Linked DNA regions of Arabidopsis thaliana. The protein of the gene in region 1 interacts with the protein of each later gene in a pairwise test. Each region holds a gene or a part of one and is shown on either strand. Other genes may lie near its edges.

Region 1 (3,527 bases):
TGAGGATGTTTCTTTGCTTGGAGTTATAATTTGATAAACCCGAAAATGCAGATGACTGTGCAAGAGTTTCCCGAGAATTCTACCGTGTCGGACCTGTTACGCAGAGCAGGACCAGGGAGCTCGAGATGGTCAATGTACAGCATCCCGGCAAAGGAAGAGCTAAGGCCAAGACTTAACCAGACACCTGTAAGTGATCTGAAATGCAAGCTGAAGATGGGAGATGTGGTGGAGCTGACTCCAGCCATACCTGACAAGTCTCTGACTGAATACAGAGAGGAAATTCAGCGGATGTATGATCGAGGGCTTGCGTTTTCACGGCCTCACCGTGCAGCTACTGGTACCATGGTTGGCTGGGGAAGCTAACTGATTCTCTTAATTACCTTTGTTCATGTATATATACTATAGTTGCATATATAGTATAATGCTTCAGAAGATTTGTTGTACCTTCGGTATTGTTGATTCCCACACAACAGTGTATATAAGATATGCCTATATGTTCTAAAAAACTGACTCTGGTCATTAATATTTGATTCTCTTACATTCTAAATCTTCAAACCACACATCTGGATCTGGTCCATAAAAACTGGCTCTGGTCATTAATTTTTGATTGTGTTACATTTCTACTTGTTGATACATAAATATTATAGATTTTTTGGTCTATCTACTTATTTGGGTACTTATTTGGGTCGTCTAGAGAGTGGGAAAGAGACCCTTTGAGGAGTTTGGCTTGGAAGGTCTGAGGTTTGTTGTTGCTGCTGTTGTTGTTCTTGAGAGGACTGTCCAGGATCTGTCATTTCTTCATCGTCCTCGGTTTCTTCAGGTTCTGTTGAAACCGACTTCTTCGGTATCACGAGCTGATAATTTGGGCTCAGCAATGTGTCCTGTTCAGGTGGGAGTGGAACACCGGGTCCTGCTATCGATTTTGGCAGAGGTATCTTGTTCCTACTTGCAGCAAGCTCAAGCAGAACCTAAATCAAACATCAAAAACAGAAACTTCAAGATTCAGGAACCAAAAGGCATGGATGTGACAGACAAAAACTTGAGGTTCTCAGTGATACAATTTATGAGGCAAGAGGGTCACACACAGTTCATAAGTCATAAGTAAGAGTGATAATTCCCTAATGATTCACATATACCAAATGACCGATCATATCGCATCTCTTCTCAGACAATGAAGAAGAAGAAACATGGAATCGTCAACAATGCATACCTCTCTTGGAGGAGGCTGTGAGAAGCTGAAATTAACTTTGGATTGAATAGCGAGCTTCACATCATCACAGTCAATGTTGGGTTTGCTAGCATGCTCTGAGTAAACCTGAGCATCTGTCAACACTTCGACCACATACCGGTACCATAACTCCAGAAACTGATGTATCACACGAGGCTCGTAGTCTTCTACACCCATCGACTTAAGCAGAGATTTCACAATCTTAGCATCTCTAGGTACATCTTCTTCACCTTCTCCTGCCATGTTTATCCCTAAACAACTAAAAAAAAAGTAAAGCTACAGAGTCAAATTAAGAACCTTTCTTATACAGAATTGATGTTGCAACAACACAAGTTTCAATCGAATCTCACAAGCAAACATCGTGTAACAGCAACACATTACATAAATCGAATAAATAAGAATTAGAGCTTCACGAATCGGAGATAAGAAAGACAAAGGAGATTCTAACCTAGCTTCATCAATAAGTTCCAAAACACAAGATTATATGCCATAAAGAGGCGATAAATACCTAATGCGAGAGAGAAAGTTTGGTGGAGAGCTAGTGGCAGAAACACGACGGAGAGATTGATGAACGGCGGCGAGGAATCGGGAAATACTAATCTCTGCCACTCTAGATCTGATATTTATGGTTTTGGTTTGTAAATCTGCTGTAACGTTGAGGGTGTAAATGTAATTTAACTAAAACGCTATTTATTACTAGTATTTTGTATTTCACTCGTGCATAGGCCCATTAAAGACCCAAATTAGAACGACGGTCGAATGTATAATATTAAATACCGATAATAGCCTCATTTCTCTTCCGTTTACTTGTCCGTGTGACCGTGTCTACGACGTTGAAATCGAAATTACCACAATGTCCTCGCCGGAGCGTGCTCTCTTGAATCTATTGACGGACATCGCTCTCTCCTTCGACGGCGCAATCCTCGGACTGACTTTAGCTGTTAGCGCCGTCGGTTCTGCTCTCAAGTATGCTTCTACCAACGCCGCGTTGAAGAAGATCAAAGATGCACCCGAAGTCTCCATTTCCGACCTCCGATCACTGCTTCCGGCTTCTGAAGACAAATCAGAGACTAACGATAACAGGAAGAGCAATGATCAGCGAATCGTTGTGGTTCGCGGAGTCGTCAAACCGAAAATTTCCGGTGATGAGGGTTACAAGAACAACAACGTGTTAATCTCTCCGGAGACTGGAGATAAAGCTCTTATCATTCAGAGAACGCAAACTGTACGTTGCTCTAAACCCTAAGTGTTTATGTTTCCCTCAAATTGCAATTGACATTGACCTAATTTTGCTTTGTGTTCTTATCAAAGGCTTAGGTTAAAGAGTTTGGATGATTTCTTCATGATTAGGTGTTCATTGTGATTGATTAAGTTAGGATTATGTAAGTTGGTACTGGTGTGATCTCAGAAGGGAAATGTATGTTTCTAATGTCATCATTTTGTTGTTGACAGTATGTGTATAGTGGATGGAAGAGATTGTTTCAGTCCACTGGTCACCGGTTTATGTTGGAGAGATCATTGCGCAAACACGGTGCTGATTTTACGAGAACGGTAAAGTCTCTCTATCAGCTTCAGAGCTTTCAACTTTGGCTCTGTATCCATGATCAAACTTGTTTTGTGTATCCTTTGCTTTGTGCAGGTCCCATTTGTCATTGTTGGAAAGGATCAGCAATCGAACTCTAGTTTTGTCGCTGTTAACATGGATGGCTCAAGGCAACCTCTTCCGCTTACCACTGTGTATAATCGCTTGCAGCCTATTAATTCTTCGTTTCTTCAAGCCTTTTTGTACCCCGATTATCCTGTGAGTATATATATATTCAAAGAAATTTCTGGTTTTGAGGAACTGATGGTTACTTGTTCTTGGCTAACTTTGTAATCCTTTCTCTTCCAAGGTTGGTCTGCTTGATATAGAGAAGATTTTACCACCTGGGAAAGATATAACAGCTGTTGGCATCTACAGTTTTAATAATGGAGTTCCTGAAATCAAATCGTGCCAAGATCTTCCTTATTTCTTGTGAGATTTTATCTGAATATTTTTCGTTCTTATATATCTGCCTGCGTTCTAGCTCAAATTATTACTTCATCTTCTTCTTTATGTTTTCTCAATCTGTTGATCATTTGACAAGATTTAGTCCATTGTTGCAGAAAGGCTCTATTTGCTGTTCATATATAAATCTTTATGAATAATCTTTGCAGATCAGAGATGACCAAGGACAAGATGATTGAGGACCTTATGGAACAGACCAACTTTATATTCTTGGGCAGCGTTATCTTGGGCATTGTGTCTGTTGGCATCCTT
Region 2 (6,856 bases), about 19 Mb from region 1:
CAACAAGGAAACATCTTTCTCAGAAGCTAGCGACCTTGGATTGGAAGGTGGAAGAGCAGAATGAGACATCTAAAATGATCTTAAGTGATGTAAGGAACCCGTTTTATTTCTCACTTTCTTGTATTGATGCCTTATTTTTTCCTTAGACTTAAGATTAGGATACTTATACATTCGTCTGAGAGAGATCTCCTCTTGTACATTTAACATCTTAGAAGAATTTAAAACACATTTAGGAATTCCAAAAGATTGTAGAGTATTTATTTATTAACGTCCTATCTCTTTGGCCCTGAACTGTTTTTCTTCACATGTACAGTAGAGTCCTTTGTTTCTTTCAAATTACAGCTTGATTCTCATATCTGCGATTTACTCCATCTATGCCTTTCTTTGATATTCATTTTAATGCTAATGCTCACATGGAATCTTGCTTCAATTCAGGTTACTGAGATGAGATCAAGCATTTCGCAAATTGGGTTTGATTTTAAGCAACTTAATGAAATGATTTCTGGAATAGTAAGTCTCATCATTGCCCTCTAATATGCATCATTGCCCTCTAATATGCATATTTTAAAGGGGCTAATATATCTTTACTCTCTTATATGAAATTTTTACAGGAAGGGAAGATTGAAAGTCTTGAAAGCAAACAAGTAATTTGTCTACAACCATTAGATACTACAAACCACTTCACGCTATCAATTTTCTTAAAACTAATTGATCTCAAACAGATATTTTTTTTGTTAAAATTTTAGGATGTGACCCTCTCTGGACTATGGCATCTATGTCAAGTTGCAGGCGTTAAAGACAGCACAAGTACTAAAGTATTTCAGGTGAGTGTTAACTTACAAATTAAGTGAAACGTTTTCTTACTTATTTTTCACGTAGTTATAGGCCTTAATGAAAAAAATCTTGTTTCTGGCTTTGTGGTTTAGGATGTTGGTGAGAGATTACCTATTGATGGAAAACCATCCACTAATACTTCTCTCTCTGTAAGAATGCTACTATACCTTTTTCCATCATATAAATGTGCATTTCCATTCTGTTGACGCAAAAAAGTTGCTTATAGTGAAAAAATTCAACGAGATGGTTGATCTTGAATTTGCATATATTCAAGGCAATCTCTCATCAAGCTTATTCGAATAAAAATTGGAACCTGAAAATACTTGTGGTAGTAGCTGTTATTTGATGATTTCATGTCATGATGTTTCTTTGGCTTTCTAAAACTATAAAACTATGGAAACTCCAGGGTCTGCGGTTTCTGACGGAAGGCAAAGAGGATGCAAATGTAATACACAAGCCGGTTATGGCGAAAGAAATTATGGTGATGGGGGAAAAAACAAAAGTCACTGCAGCGGGAAGAAGCAGAGTTCATAGAGCGTTTCCAGGTGGAATATCTTGGGTACGGGATGTTTCAGGACTATCCTAATATTATTTTGGTTGATATACAAAGAAATTGCTTGTATTCGTCCCAAATTCTGATACTGGGACTGGCAATTATTTTTTCATGTAAAAAGAAGAAAAATCTACATATGTTATTGCATCCACCAACAATTTGGTTTGCCCCTAATTATATTTGGTCTTGATGTTTGTAAAGAAAGAGTGTGATTAAGGCTTTCACGTATGTTGATGTCTTCATTGATTTGGACTTTTGTGCTCCTTTTTCCTTTTGTGTTTGGATCAATTTTGTTTGTGTAGAAAATAGAAAGAACTACCACAGAAGACAGAACTACTGTCTTGAAACATTTGTTTCGTCCTTTCTCGTAGGATTAATTGTCTTTAGTTGGCAGAGAAATAAAATATTTCGCTCTTATTGGGCCTTGGCCCAAAATAGATATAGAGACAGCCCAAATTTAATTTAACCCGAAATAGTCCAACCGGGTGAATTTGACAGCAATTAAAAAACCCGGCCCGGCTTCTTATATTAACAAGAGGCTTGGCATCGGTTAATCGGAGCTTCTTTCCTCTCAAGTGAAGTGTCTGGATCTTCGTCGCTCAACGCAAATCCCTCTCCGGTTCATGTAAATTTCCAACTTATTTTTGTGCTCGAATTTTGGTTAACGGGACAAATTTCACACTTTTACGGAGTATGGAAGCAGCCTTTGTCTTCTGGGCTGTTGAATTGCGATTCATTGTGTATGCCCAACAATGGTTTAATTGGGAGGTTCCAATGATTTTTTGTGCTTTTTTCTTACTTAATATAACCACTGTTGATGTTTCTTCTGTGTCCTTGTATCGCCACAGTGGATAAGCAGCCTGGGGAAGATGAGCATTGTACCTAAGGAAACGGTTGAGGTAATAGCTCAAAGTATTGGGATTACCAACTTGTTACCTGAAGCTGCTCTTATGCTTGCTCCTGATGTTGAGTATCGTGTCCGAGAGATCATGCAGGTTACCTTCTTTTTCTAATCATGTCTTTGTGTTCTTGAGGTGAGTTTTCTGGTATCAGCATATTGATCTTTCTGTACCTTCTCTTTGGATGTCCTTTCAGGAAGCTATCAAATGCATGCGTCACTCAAAGAGAACGACTTTAACAGCTTCGGATGTAGATGGTGCTCTCAACTTAAGGAACGTTGAGGTACAAACTCGATGACCTATTTCTTACTTCCCATTATCTAGAGTTTTGGTTGTGTAAGCTTCCTGGTTTTTGTAGTTGAGTGACAAAGATATATGGTTTCTAGTTTTGAGGTTTGGCTTTACTGGTGCATATGAATAACACCATCTGTTACACATTGCTTTCACATATTTCACTATTGTAGTCAACTGAATCAAAGGCATCTTTTTGAGAGTGATTATATCTATTGCAGCCGATATATGGATTTGCCTCAGGAGGGCCATTTCGTTTTAGAAAAGCTATTGGACATCGCGATTTGTTCTACACTGATGACAGAGAAGTGGATTTCAAAGATGTAAGATGTTGGAAAAGCTGGCATGTTTTTTTTGTTTCAGTTAAATTCTTCATTTTGGGTTCCTTATGTTTTCAAGAAATGTCATGATTCTAGGTGATCGAAGCCCCGCTGCCAAAAGCTCCCCTTGATACTGAAATTGTTTGTCACTGGCTGGCTATTGAAGGAGTGCAACCAGCTATACCAGAAAATGCTCCTTTAGAAGGTTTGTCTCTCAATCTTATGCCCTGGGCTAGAGTTGTAAAGTCATTATATGAATTTTTCAACATGAAACAAATATTAGTATGTACAATGACGTTTCAGAGGTGTATAAACCTCTTTCTACAGTTACCCCGTGTTAAGTGGTGAGCTTACTGATGTTACTGAAAGATCAAAATACATATTTTCAGATCCATCTGTATTATTGTTTTGCGGATCCGCATGAGCAAGAAATCCTTGTTCTTTCCTATCTTGACTATATTTTTCACTTGTTTGTGTTGTCTCTAGTCATTAGAGCACCTGCAGAAACCAAAATCCATGAACAAAAAGACGGACCTCTTATTGACGTTAGGCTACCAGTGAAGCATGTACTATCTAGGGAACTTCAGGTATATGGTGCAGTCTAAATATCATAGGGTAATATCCTTACATACATAGGACTTATCTGTTGTTCTCTCTTCACAGTTATACTTCCAAAAGATTGCTGAACTTGCAATGAGCAAGTCAAATCCTCCTCTGTATAAAGAAGCATTAGTGAGCTTGGCCTCAGACTCAGGACTTCATCCTCTAGTTCCATATTTTACAAATTTCATTGCTGATGAGGTAACATTATGCACCACCGAGGAACTAGTGTGAACCAATAAGACCCACGTTAAGTTTTTGCAGTTTTAATTTTCTCCACTTGTGCAGGTTTCAAATGGCTTAAATGACTTCCGACTCCTGTTTAATCTAATGCACATTGTTAGAAGTCTTCTACAGAATCCTCACATACACATAGAACCTTATGTAAGTTTTCTCTGGATTATCTTTTGCCACTATCTAAAAAATTGTAGAATCATGTAGCTCCATTTTCTTTAGGCTTCTGATTTGGGTTTCTTCAAGTTCTATATTAGACATATTCTATATAATGGGTATCAAATGGTTAGTGGTAGTGTTTGTCCGAGGTCTGCAAGCTCGAGTGCTTAAGTACTCTCAGTCTGCTTGAAATAACAACAAGTTTTGCCTTTGATCTGTATTGAGATTATGTAAACCAGCCTTGGGATAATGAGTTGGTTGTTTGAGCAATGTTTCATAACCATGAAGCTGAGTGAACTTTTTCTTTTGGTGCCAGCTGCACCAGTTGATGCCATCTGTTGTAACATGCCTTGTATCAAGAAAGCTTGGAAATAGATTTGCTGACAACCACTGGGAACTCAGAGATTTTGCGGCAAATCTGGTTTCACTGATATGTAAAAGGTTCATTATTTCCCTTTCATGTCATGAACTCTGTGTTTGTTTTGGTTGATTGTGGGGATCTATACATGATTTCTTACTGGAGCTAATAATGAAATTCTATAAGGAAATATCATGAGATGATTATCCATAGATGTTCTGCTAAGTTTATCTTGTTTGATCTCTTTACTATTGATATCTACTTCTTTTTTGCTCGAGCTGAAAAACAAATGGTTAGATCTATATTAACAACAATTAGTAATAACTTGCTATAGTCTTCTTCATTATTTAAAAGGGTACATTGTCTCGCACTTTTATTTTACATATCTCACCTTTATATTCTTTTAGCATCTGAAATCCTGTGATTTTAATAAAATCTTGCAGGTATGGAACCGTTTATATAACTCTTCAGTCTCGTCTTACCAGAACTTTAGTCAATGCACTGCTGGACCCAAAGAAGGCTTTGACTCAGCACTATGGTGCGATTCAAGGATTAGCAGCTTTGGGGCACACTGTTGTAAGTCATTCCTTGACCTTTCAGAAAGTTTGTGCATGCTATTTCAGATATCACCGAGAAATAATGTTACCCAGCTTGTCCTTCAATCTAGGGACTTTTCAGAATCTGAGATACAATTTGATTTGCCCATACCATTTTTCCGGGTTTGCTTATTCATTTTATTGGGAAATTAGGACTTTTATCGTCTTAAACGGCTACTCCAGTGAATCAGATACCCCTGCTACCAAAAACTTTAGCACAGCTATCCTGCATTGTTATCTGTTGTCATCTGAATGTCATATATTGTGTAGGTACGCCTTCTTATTCTATCAAATCTCGAACCATATCTAAGTCTTCTCGAACCTGAATTGAATGCTGAGAAGCAAAAAAATCAGATGAAGATCTACGAAGCTTGGCGTGTATATGGAGCCTTGCTGGTTAGTAAACACATCCTTGTAAAATTTCATCTTTGTAGAATTCTCAGTGGACAATCCTTAGATGGACTTGCCCCCTTTTTCTTTTCAGCGTGCTGCAGGCTTGTGTATACATGGCCGGCTTAAAATCTTCCCACCTTTACCATCTCCGTCACCAAGTTTTCTCCATAAGGGAAAGGGAAAGGGAAAGATAATCAGTACTGATCCCCACAAGCGGAAGCTGAGTGTAGATTCTTCAGAAAACCAATCACCGCAGAAAAGATTGATAACCATGGATGGGCCAGATGGTGTACATTCACAAGATCAATCTGGCTCAGCTCCAATGCAAGTAGATAATCCAGTGGAAAATGACAATCCGCCACAAAACTCTGTTCAGCCATCCTCATCAGAACAAGCCTCTGATGCTAACGAATCTGAAAGCAGAAATGGAAAGGTGAAAGAAAGCGGCAGGAGTCGGGCTATTACCATGAAAGCAATCCTTGATCAGATATGGAAAGATGATCTTGATTCCGGACGGCTATTGGTGAAACTGCACGAACTCTATGGTGATAGGATTCTTCCCTTTATCCCTTCTACAGAGATGTCAGTATTCCTCTAACCAATAAGAGGTGAGCTATTCTATTCCCCAACTTCCTGATATTTACCTCATCGATATAAAACTCATGGTTCCAGTCGTGAATGCAATAAATATGTGAAATCAAAAGAATAATGATACTCAATACATTAATGCTAATGAAATAGATGTTTGATGATTTTCAAGCAGAGAAGGAGGCTTGGAGAGATTAAAGCGCCGTCTGGTTGGCATACATAAACTCATTTAGATCCGTGCCATTGTTCTCAGGTCAACTCTTTAGTTCTTCTTTTTAAGCTTGAGGGATTTCAAAGTCCTTAGGAGCCTGCAGAGTGGGTTGAGTTGAATTGAACCGGTTGCAATGTATATATTAAGAGAATTTTAATGATTCCGTAGTGGACTTATTTGTTTACTCTCAAATGTAATCCATGAAATAATTTCTCTTCAAATCTGTATGATCTAGATTGCAATTTTTGATATTGTTGTTTACATGTATGCTCTCTTGCTTATTTACTCTTTACATATAATATCCGTTCATAGATTATATCTATTGTTGATCCTTCTGGTCCGTTGCTAGAAAACTTTTGGGCAAACTACAAGGTTTGGTCTGTATTACATTGACTATAAAGAAGATCTGAAAGACAACAAGATTAATTTATGAGGATCTATAGGAGGATAAGACTGAACAAAAGTTTCGGAGACATTCTTAAGTTAACTATCTTGTATGTAAACAATCAAGTTTGCTACAAACCACAGAACAGCCTAGTAATCTGGTTTACTACAAAAGAAATACCTGTTGATCAAAGCCCAGACCGAAAACTTATGACCATCAGTGCTGTGGCTTATTGCATTCCAGTAAAAGCTTTGGCTATTACCAAGTATAGCTAATGTGCTCGAACAAGAGAGCTTCAGGCATGAACATAATCCTCAAAAATGTTTCACAGAGAGTAATTCCTTTTTGCCAGAACAAGACTATGACCATCATTCGACGATTTCCCCTTCTTCTAAATCTAGTCCATCAGCGATGAAATCAGTATCTAAATTTTGG
Region 3 (7,846 bases), on another chromosome or scaffold:
GTGAAAACGAGTATTTTATGCGAAGTAGTAAATGGGATAGAGGTGCGAGTCACAGAAGGTGGGGAGGACCACAAAACCACAATTAAGTTCCGCGTGATCTTTACTCATTCTTTTACTTGAATAATATGGTTTAGTGTAGACAAATTTCTCGAGTTTGCGTGTATTATTTGGACTAAACACAATATTTTTATCATCTATTTACAAGAAATATCAATAAGAGTAATGAAGTTATAGCAACCATATTAATAATTTGTGATTATTTATTTGATGGGTCCAGTCGCTAACTAGACGGTGTGATACATACTGTATATGATTTAACAAAGAGTACTTTTGTCTTTCAATTTTGCATTGGATGCAAAGTATTGAGATATGAGTCACTAGAAGATGTGTTGTAAATTGACGTTTGAGTTGAAATGGCCATGAAAAAACAATGAACATAACAGAAACAAATCACAATGGTATAAAAATAAATGACTTGGGGCCTTGACGATTAAATTATCATCAGAAGCTTATAAATATAATGATTCTTCTTTCTATTGAATTAATCGATACATCAGAGTGGATTTGGACATCTGTGGCTCTCTTTCGAGGACCGCAACCACATCCTTCACAGAGATTGTCCTCACCACTTTCGGTTGAAGCGACGAACCTTGGTTTTTCCCTACTCTTCGACCACCTGCAAACAAGAATCCAAAGCTCATCATCGCAAACCAAAACCGTGAGGAACTAACTCGATAGACAATCCCCACACCACAGCTAGATTCTTAGCATTTCCTAACACTAGCAGCATTTCATGCTTTCAAGGAGGGTTTATCGGTTTGTTCATCGGCTTTGCTAGGGGAAACAAGTTAAAAAGGATGGACTCACCAGTACCAGAAAACCGTCGTCCACCATCTTGTCTATCTTTGGAGTTCTTTCCTCCACCTGAAGTAGTTTTCTGATTCCCATCTTTACCAGCTTCAGATACAGATTTCTGACGAGCTTCAGCCATTAATTGCCATTTTAAGAACGCATCATCTCCTCCGACAGCAGCACGAGCAGCAACATTTGCAGCTGTCGTTCTCATTTTGTCGTCATCCTCTTTATTTCCCTTCACATGTCGAAACCACTTTTGTAAGAACACTGCAACGGTATTATTAATTTCCACAAATGTATTATTAATTTCTCCATACCTTCACACCCTTTGAACGATTATCTTCTTTATCCTTCTCACTGTCAACTCCACCATCACCTTCTTCACTCTGCAGCAAAAAGATGAAATTTGCAATGTCTGTGTGTTGTAGTAAACATAAGAACATAGATAATGAGCTCAGAACAGACCTCACTCGGTTTCTTAAGCTTTTCTGCTTCAGCCTGTTTCTTCTCCCATTCTTCCTTCACCTTCTGATTCATTTCGTTGATTTGTAGCCGAATATCTGATGTGATAAAAGTCCGGTGCCTAGATTTCTCAGCATCAACCCGCTGAAGAAGCATTTTTAGCTTCAGACAGAATTTATCAAACAATGTTGAACCAGGTAGTAAGAGAAAGTTAGACTGACCTGCTTTGACAACCGAATTATATGGGATAATAGTCCTCGCATCCTTTCCTCCACACACTGAAAGCAAATACATGAGAAAAGGGGAAAAAGAAGCTCAAGTATTGTATGCAAACAATGCACACGAAGTTGACATCTCACCAAAGATAAGCACCGTTCGACATCATTGCTTATCTGCTTTAACCCGGCTTTAGCCACTGCCAGATAAGAAAAGCATATGTAAGCTTCGTCTCCAAGTGATTCAATAACTAGAAATTAAAATAGAAGAAGATATGGGAAGTATCCCAACTAATTTCCGCCAGCTTTCTTTGCAGAGGATTCTTCTGCAAGATTAATCTTTCTTCTTCTTCGTGCACAACTCTCCGAGATGCTTCGGAAACACGACCATCTTCCTTGGCCCCAGAAAATAATTGTTCTTCCTCTTCCTAAATCAAATGCAGACAAAAAATGATTTACTTCAGTAATCTACATCCAGATTAAAATTGAAAACTGAAGCTACCAGGAAACGCACCCTGAGATTAACACCACTGACTGCAGTGACATCATTGAGCTGTTCAATACTTTGATCCATAGAATTCCCTGCTACTTTTTGCTTCTTGCTGCAAGTTGATCCATGCAAAACGATTATGATTTTATATTACTTGGGGACTCGAAAAGAAAAGTGGTTTACACTTAAAAATCCATACATCAGAAGTCTATTATTAACGAAGAAAGAGTGACTTAAAAAACTGTTCCCTGTTTCTAAGCCTGAGCAGATCAATTACCTTGGTGGTGGAGGTGAAGAACCTAATGTCTCAAGAGGTTTTTTCTGACCAACAGAAGGCTTTTTGGGTGGCATCCTAGCATTAGCTCCTCCTTGAGAGGTTCCCAATGGGCCACGAGAATTCATCTGATGGATACACAAACAATGTTAATGATGTCCAATTGAAACTTTTCCTATTTACTGTTTATAGTAGAAATTATAAAACCCAAAACAAGGAAAAACAATAGATGTCCAGGTTGTCGGACATAACACGGAAAATATGCAAGGGCTTTTGAAGCGCCATAGTTGCCCCAGCAGCTCAAAGAGAAGAGGCAAACAAGAACAGTGGAGACTGACTTTTATAATGAGAAAACTATATATTAATAGATCTCTTACAGTTGTGCTGGCGTCTAGTTGAGTTGTCATGGAAGGAGAAACAGAGCTTGCAGGCGCCATGTTGTTAGGCGTGGATAAAACCATTCTAGAGGACTCCTTCTCTAAGTCCTCATTCGAAGTCATTGAGGCTGCATTATTCTTTTCAAAACTTTGATCAACTGATTCCTGCTTTACGTGGGACACTGATGATCCTTGACCAGGTGCAGAATTTAGAGGCAATGATGAGCTGTTCTGGAAGTGCGATGTAGCGCCACCCTGAACCCTACTCGGATCATTTACAGAACTTGGCCTCTCAAACTTGGGCATAGTCATCATGTTTGTGGTAGACTGGGGCGGTCCTCCAAGACCAGTTGATCCCATAGGCTGGTTATGTGCCACATGTCTCATATGGGAATCATGAAGGTGAGGTCTCAACGTGGAACCAGAAGCATTGGTGTTTGGACCCGGGAATGAATGAAAACTACCAGAAGTGGTATACATAGGAAAAGAACTTGGTGGATGCTGCATCTGGTGCTGCGGATGTTTGGTAAGTCCCTGTACCGGAACTGAACTGCCTAAGGTGCCTGAAGCTGAGGACGGTAGTTGGTTAAGATGGACTGCACGAGGATCAGACTGAGATTTTTGATTATTGATTTCTGCGAATGAATAGATTTAATCAGGTAAGATATTGGCTCCTGCATGGAAGTAATAAGATATATCTATGGAGAGTATAGAAGCTTTTATGATAATGGTGAAAGAAAAATAAAAAAGAATGCATTAGTGAATAATTTATACCAGTAGAAGGAGCTTGAATTCCAATTTTTCCCTGGTTATAGTTCACCTGAAAACAATGAGCACAAATTACAAATAAATAAGAATCTATACCCAATTTCAAATGCTTCAACGGTTAGCACAATTTTAGTTGGAATTAAGAACCCAGTTCAAAAAGCAAAACCTTCATTAAAATAGTAGAAAACAGAACAAAGAGAATAACTTTGGTTCCCTCGGACAAAGATAAAGAGCTTCAACCTTATATATAGGAAAAGATAACTCCCAAACGAAAAAGGGAAAGAAAATAGAAATTCTAATTAGAATTGGACTAAACTTTTCGTATCTTATTATAATTATAATGGGAAATAAGATTAAATCGTATCAGTTGGTGTACTTGAACTAGTCCTACTCTGCAGACATTGACCACAAACGCTGGACGTATAAATTTAGCACCGTTTTAACATGTAAATGTGGGACAAACGCAAGTCAGTAAACTCATATGATTAGATCATCCCAGGCATAAGTCTGATAACCTTTGGAAAGGAATAATAATCTGCTAAGATTGGTATTCTGTAAGAAAGTAAATCTCGACTTTTTGGTAGTGATCAAAATAGAGGAAAATAAAGAGTTTTTCCCTAATTCAATATGTTGTATCTAATTTATGAAGCTAAAATATATATTCTAAACATCATTTGACTTATCAACAGTTCTACTTCATGTCAGACCATTCTATGTGCATTCAAGCTAATAAAAAACAATAGTCTTTTGATCCAGCTAAATTCAAAGAGCAAATGTAAAAAAAGAGTAAAAATGTAAAGCACTAGCAAGCAGAACTTTTAGACAAACAATTCCAACATGATTCCACTTACAAACTAATACCCTAGGTTGGTTGTCTGGTTTTAGTCACAACATGGCACAATATATGCAAAATGGTAATACCTGCTGGAGTTTACTAACTGCCATCCTGAGCATCTGATCGCCCACAATATCTTTCATATGTCGTGTGAACCCCTCTTTGGGGATTTCATTTTTCTGCAAAAAAAAGTAGCAGAAGGAAAGAAATGATAATACAATAGCTTTGGAACAGAATGTCAAATGATTTCACAGATAGACATACCTTAAGTCTAGCATATAGGGTACGGAGCTGCAGTGCTCTATCTTTATCGAGTTGGTTCATTAAAGTAGGAAGCAAAGCAGCAAATGGTACTTGCTTAGGGTTGCGGTTTATAGGGTTAACATTCATAGGGTTAACAGGCGGTTCCACTCCCCGAGCCTGTTGACTACTCATCTTTTGCAGTTTCATATACTGAGATTCACTCTCTTGATTATGGGATCTATCTGATTCATTACCAGTAGGATTCTTTTCACTAATCGGTAACCCAGTTGATTGGGGGACCTGCGAGGGATTCTCCCAGAGTTGACCAGCTCGATGAAGGTCTTGAGGCTGGTTGTGTTGTAAATGAGGTTCATTTGCGCGTTTCAAATCATGTTGATGTTGATTTTCTAAAGTCGATCCTTCTTGCTCCTTCATCTGAGTACTTTCAAGGCTATGCTGAGTCTGGACATTGATATTAGAATCTCCAATACCATTCTTCCATGTCGAAAACTGCTGCCTGGAAGAATGGTTGTTTCCTATAAAAATAATAGAAGCAATTGGTTGATGATACTCAAATCACAAGTTAAACTGGAGGAAAAATCATATAATACCCAAAAAAGGACAAAAGACAGGATTTTGTTGTAGCAGATTATGCACACAAAATGCATACTCAGTAGCTCTCATACACCTATCCACAAATCACAACCTATTTGTATTTCAATATTTAATGGTGTAGTCAGAGGAAAGAGATCACTTCCAGCACCAGAGACAGAAAATAATGATTTAAGGAGACACGTAATCATCGTCAAGATTGCAGTGAACCAAGAACAAAGCCTAACACTAAAATAGTATCAGCATCACCAACCTATGTCTACCCTGGCTAATAAATCCCATCACACTGATCAATTTTAATGACTCAACAATCAACTAGTACAGGCTATATTGGCAATGACAAAGCTTATCCCGATATTAACATACAGAAACCCTAACAAACTAATATTTCATGACCTTAACTATTGCTTTAATACAGGACTGAAACTTCCAAACATGTCACTAGATTAGCAAGGTTTACAATATAGCCTAACCAAGGCATCTTCTTAAGTTATCCATGTTCCAAGAGTAATAACCTATCTGAGAAAACTGTATATATTAAAAACAAGCACAACTTTGCTAACATGTCAAAGCTTCCCAAAGCAGCCAATCCAAGATAAAACCAAAAGATACTATCTTTATATTAACTAATAGTACCACAAAAATTAAAATCTCAGACATAAAATTTAAGAGCGAATTTGTAGAGAAACCAAACCTGGGTTTGTCACGTGGGGTATTGAAGTTGTCATAGAACCTTCAATATCACGATTCAGAGCAGCTTGGAACGCGTCTACGTCAGCTCCTGAATGCATCGATTCATCCTAAAATAATACAATTCGACCGGAATCAAAAACCACGAAGACGATTCCAGATACATCACACAAAATTGGATTTTGAAACGAGTGAGATTAGAAACCTAACCTCATCTTCTTCAAGGAGCTTGAAAATTGAAGGATCCATTGAAATAGCTGGGGAAGGCAAAGAGAGAAAGAGAGCTCTCGGCGTAGATGAATTAATAGGAAACAGATGTTATAAGATTAGTCCTAAACTAACCTCATGTCGTTTATTAGCTTTGTTTTAGCACTGTATGTCGTTTTTAATTTTGATCGAAAAAAAACGATACCGTTTGTTATGGATGAGTAACCTCATGTTGTTTATTGGTGTTCTTTTAAAAACTGCATGACGTTTAATGGAATACGAAAAACGCTGTCGTTTGCTTTATTGCGTGGAGAGATATATCAAACTTTATGTCGTTTATTGGTTTTGGTTAAGCACTGTTTGTTGTTTGCGTGTATTGAGACTAAAAGTTCTGGTACAGAGAGAGAGATACATCAAAAGTACAGTGTAAGCTGCCGCCATTAACGAAGCATCGGCGAAAAAAGAAGATGAATATCGTTGGATTGAGCAAACGTTTCTTCTCCGATCGTCGCTCTCTTCACGGGATCAACAATGCTCTCTTGAAAACAGTGTTCACCGGTCGGAAACCGATTCTCGGATTCTCCGGCCGATCGATTCACGAGCTACGCAAAACTGGGAATTTCGTAATCCCTCGTGTTTTCTCCGTGTCGCGAAATCTAACGACGAAGGCTTCGTCTTCTTCTTCGAAACAACCTGCGTTTCTACGATGGTATTTGAGAAAGCTCGAATCACATCCTTTTATGACTAAGAGTATCACTACTTCTGTCATCTATATGGCTGCAGATCTCACTTCTCAGGTTTTTTTTTGAATCTTTGTAGTTTTTGGAATTTAGGGTTCTTTCTCATTTCATTACTAATTAGAGAATTTTGTTAAAGTTTTGAATTTTATCTCTTGATTTAGGAAGAAAAGACTAATCTTCATTTGTTATTATACCAAGACAATTCCAAATTTGATTTGAAACTAGATCATAATCTTACTAGTGGAAGAAGTTATAATACTTTAGTAAAGAATAGGTGGAGATAGCACTAAAAGTTGGTGTTTTTTAATGAATTGTTATTCTCATATTTTTGGTTTAGTCTGTGTTCTCAACTGTTGTTCTTTGATGTGTGAGACTGTACTTACAGTGTTTACTGAATCTGTATATTGTACTCTTGTGAATTTGAAGTCTTTCTGTACTGAATAATGGATGAATTTAGTATTGGTTTGATTACTCAGAAAACTCACACTCCAATCCGAATAGTCTAATCTTCTTGTTATTATCTCTTGTGAATACTTATTGCTAAGGTGAAAAAAGCTTTAGGTGTGTGTGTTGGGGTTCTTGTAAACTCTGTTTTTCTTCTTGTCATTAGTGGATTTCTCTTTTGAGTCTTTTTATGATCATGTTGTGGTGCTCTTCCCCCAGTAATATGTTAGAGCGAAACTAGAGAACCTTTTGTTTTGTTTTATTTGTGTTGACTCTCTAAATTCTTCAACAGATGATCACAATGGAGCCAACTGGTTCTTTTGACTTGATAAGAACAGCGAGAATGGCGAGCTTTGGGTTGATATTTCTCGGGCCGTCTCAGCATCTGTGGTTCAGTTATCTTTCGAAGATATTGCCAAAGCGCGACGTGTTGACAACCTTTAAGAAAATAATGATGGGGCAGGTTCTTTTCGGACCTGTTAGCAACACAGTCTTCTATTCCTACAATGCTGCTTTACAAGGTACATAACATAATCAAACCTCTATGGATTGAACGGATTTAGCTTTTTACGGTTTCTCTGCCTGTAAATTTATGGTGCTCATTATGAGATTGGTTCTGGCACGTTGTTGGTCC

What was found.
Region 2: the proteins of TAFII21 (region 1) and TAFII59 interact in a two-hybrid assay, tested with the Arabidopsis thaliana proteins (one study listed by BioGRID).
Region 3: the proteins of TAFII21 (region 1) and TAF4 interact in a two-hybrid assay, tested with the Arabidopsis thaliana proteins (one study listed by BioGRID).

The regions. Positions count from the first base shown.
Region 1 is NC_003070.9:20,213,399-20,216,925, forward strand, and holds TAFII21 (TATA binding protein associated factor 21kDa subunit), read right to left. Parts: upstream 1,868-3,527; 5' UTR 1,737-1,867; intron 1,488-1,736; 5' UTR 1,472-1,487; coding exon 1,211-1,471; intron 969-1,210; coding exon 678-968; 3' UTR 501-677; downstream 1-500. Other genes in the region: RSH3 (RELA/SPOT homolog 3), read left to right, coding at 52-363; SPL2 (E3 Ubiquitin ligase family protein), read left to right, coding at 2,082-2,453, 2,681-2,779, 2,868-3,029, 3,121-3,242, 3,425-3,527.
Region 2 is NC_003070.9:1,402,585-1,409,440, reverse strand, and holds TAFII59 (TATA BOX ASSOCIATED FACTOR II 59), read left to right. Parts: upstream 1-1,909; 5' UTR 1,910-2,012; exon of another isoform or gene 2,013-2,235; 5' UTR 2,236-2,256; coding exon 2,257-2,382; intron 2,383-2,482; coding exon 2,483-2,569; intron 2,570-2,798; coding exon 2,799-2,900; intron 2,901-2,993; coding exon 2,994-3,102; intron 3,103-3,383; coding exon 3,384-3,484; intron 3,485-3,560; coding exon 3,561-3,698; intron 3,699-3,785; coding exon 3,786-3,881; intron 3,882-4,206; coding exon 4,207-4,331; intron 4,332-4,691; coding exon 4,692-4,824; intron 4,825-5,114; coding exon 5,115-5,240; intron 5,241-5,328; coding exon 5,329-5,835; 3' UTR 5,836-5,845; intron 5,846-6,000; 3' UTR 6,001-6,356; downstream 6,357-6,856. Other genes in the region: AT1G04960 (golgin family A protein (DUF1664)), read left to right, coding at 1-89, 436-510, 612-644, 747-824, 927-983, 1,241-1,420; AT1G04945 (HIT-type Zinc finger family protein), read right to left, coding at 6,790-6,856. UniProt on the Arabidopsis thaliana protein: TAFs are components of the transcription factor IID (TFIID) complex that is essential for mediating regulation of RNA polymerase transcription. Required for proper pollen function. May stabilize the interaction of TFIID with selected promoters.
Region 3 is NC_003076.8:17,315,075-17,322,920, forward strand, and holds TAF4 (TBP-associated factor 4), read right to left. Parts: upstream 6,112-7,846; 5' UTR 6,071-6,111; coding exon 6,032-6,070; intron 5,932-6,031; coding exon 5,826-5,931; intron 5,056-5,825; coding exon 4,541-5,055; intron 4,456-4,540; coding exon 4,363-4,455; intron 3,494-4,362; coding exon 3,448-3,493; intron 3,309-3,447; coding exon 2,674-3,308; intron 2,425-2,673; coding exon 2,300-2,424; intron 2,135-2,299; coding exon 2,047-2,134; intron 1,961-2,046; coding exon 1,825-1,960; intron 1,733-1,824; coding exon 1,677-1,732; intron 1,596-1,676; coding exon 1,539-1,595; intron 1,462-1,538; coding exon 1,321-1,461; intron 1,242-1,320; coding exon 1,173-1,241; intron 1,091-1,172; coding exon 868-1,090; coding exon of another isoform or gene 800-867; exon of another isoform or gene 764-799; coding exon 534-763; 3' UTR 387-533; downstream 1-386. Other genes in the region: AT5G43140 (Peroxisomal membrane 22 kDa (Mpv17/PMP22) family protein), read left to right, coding at 6,496-6,825, 7,505-7,733.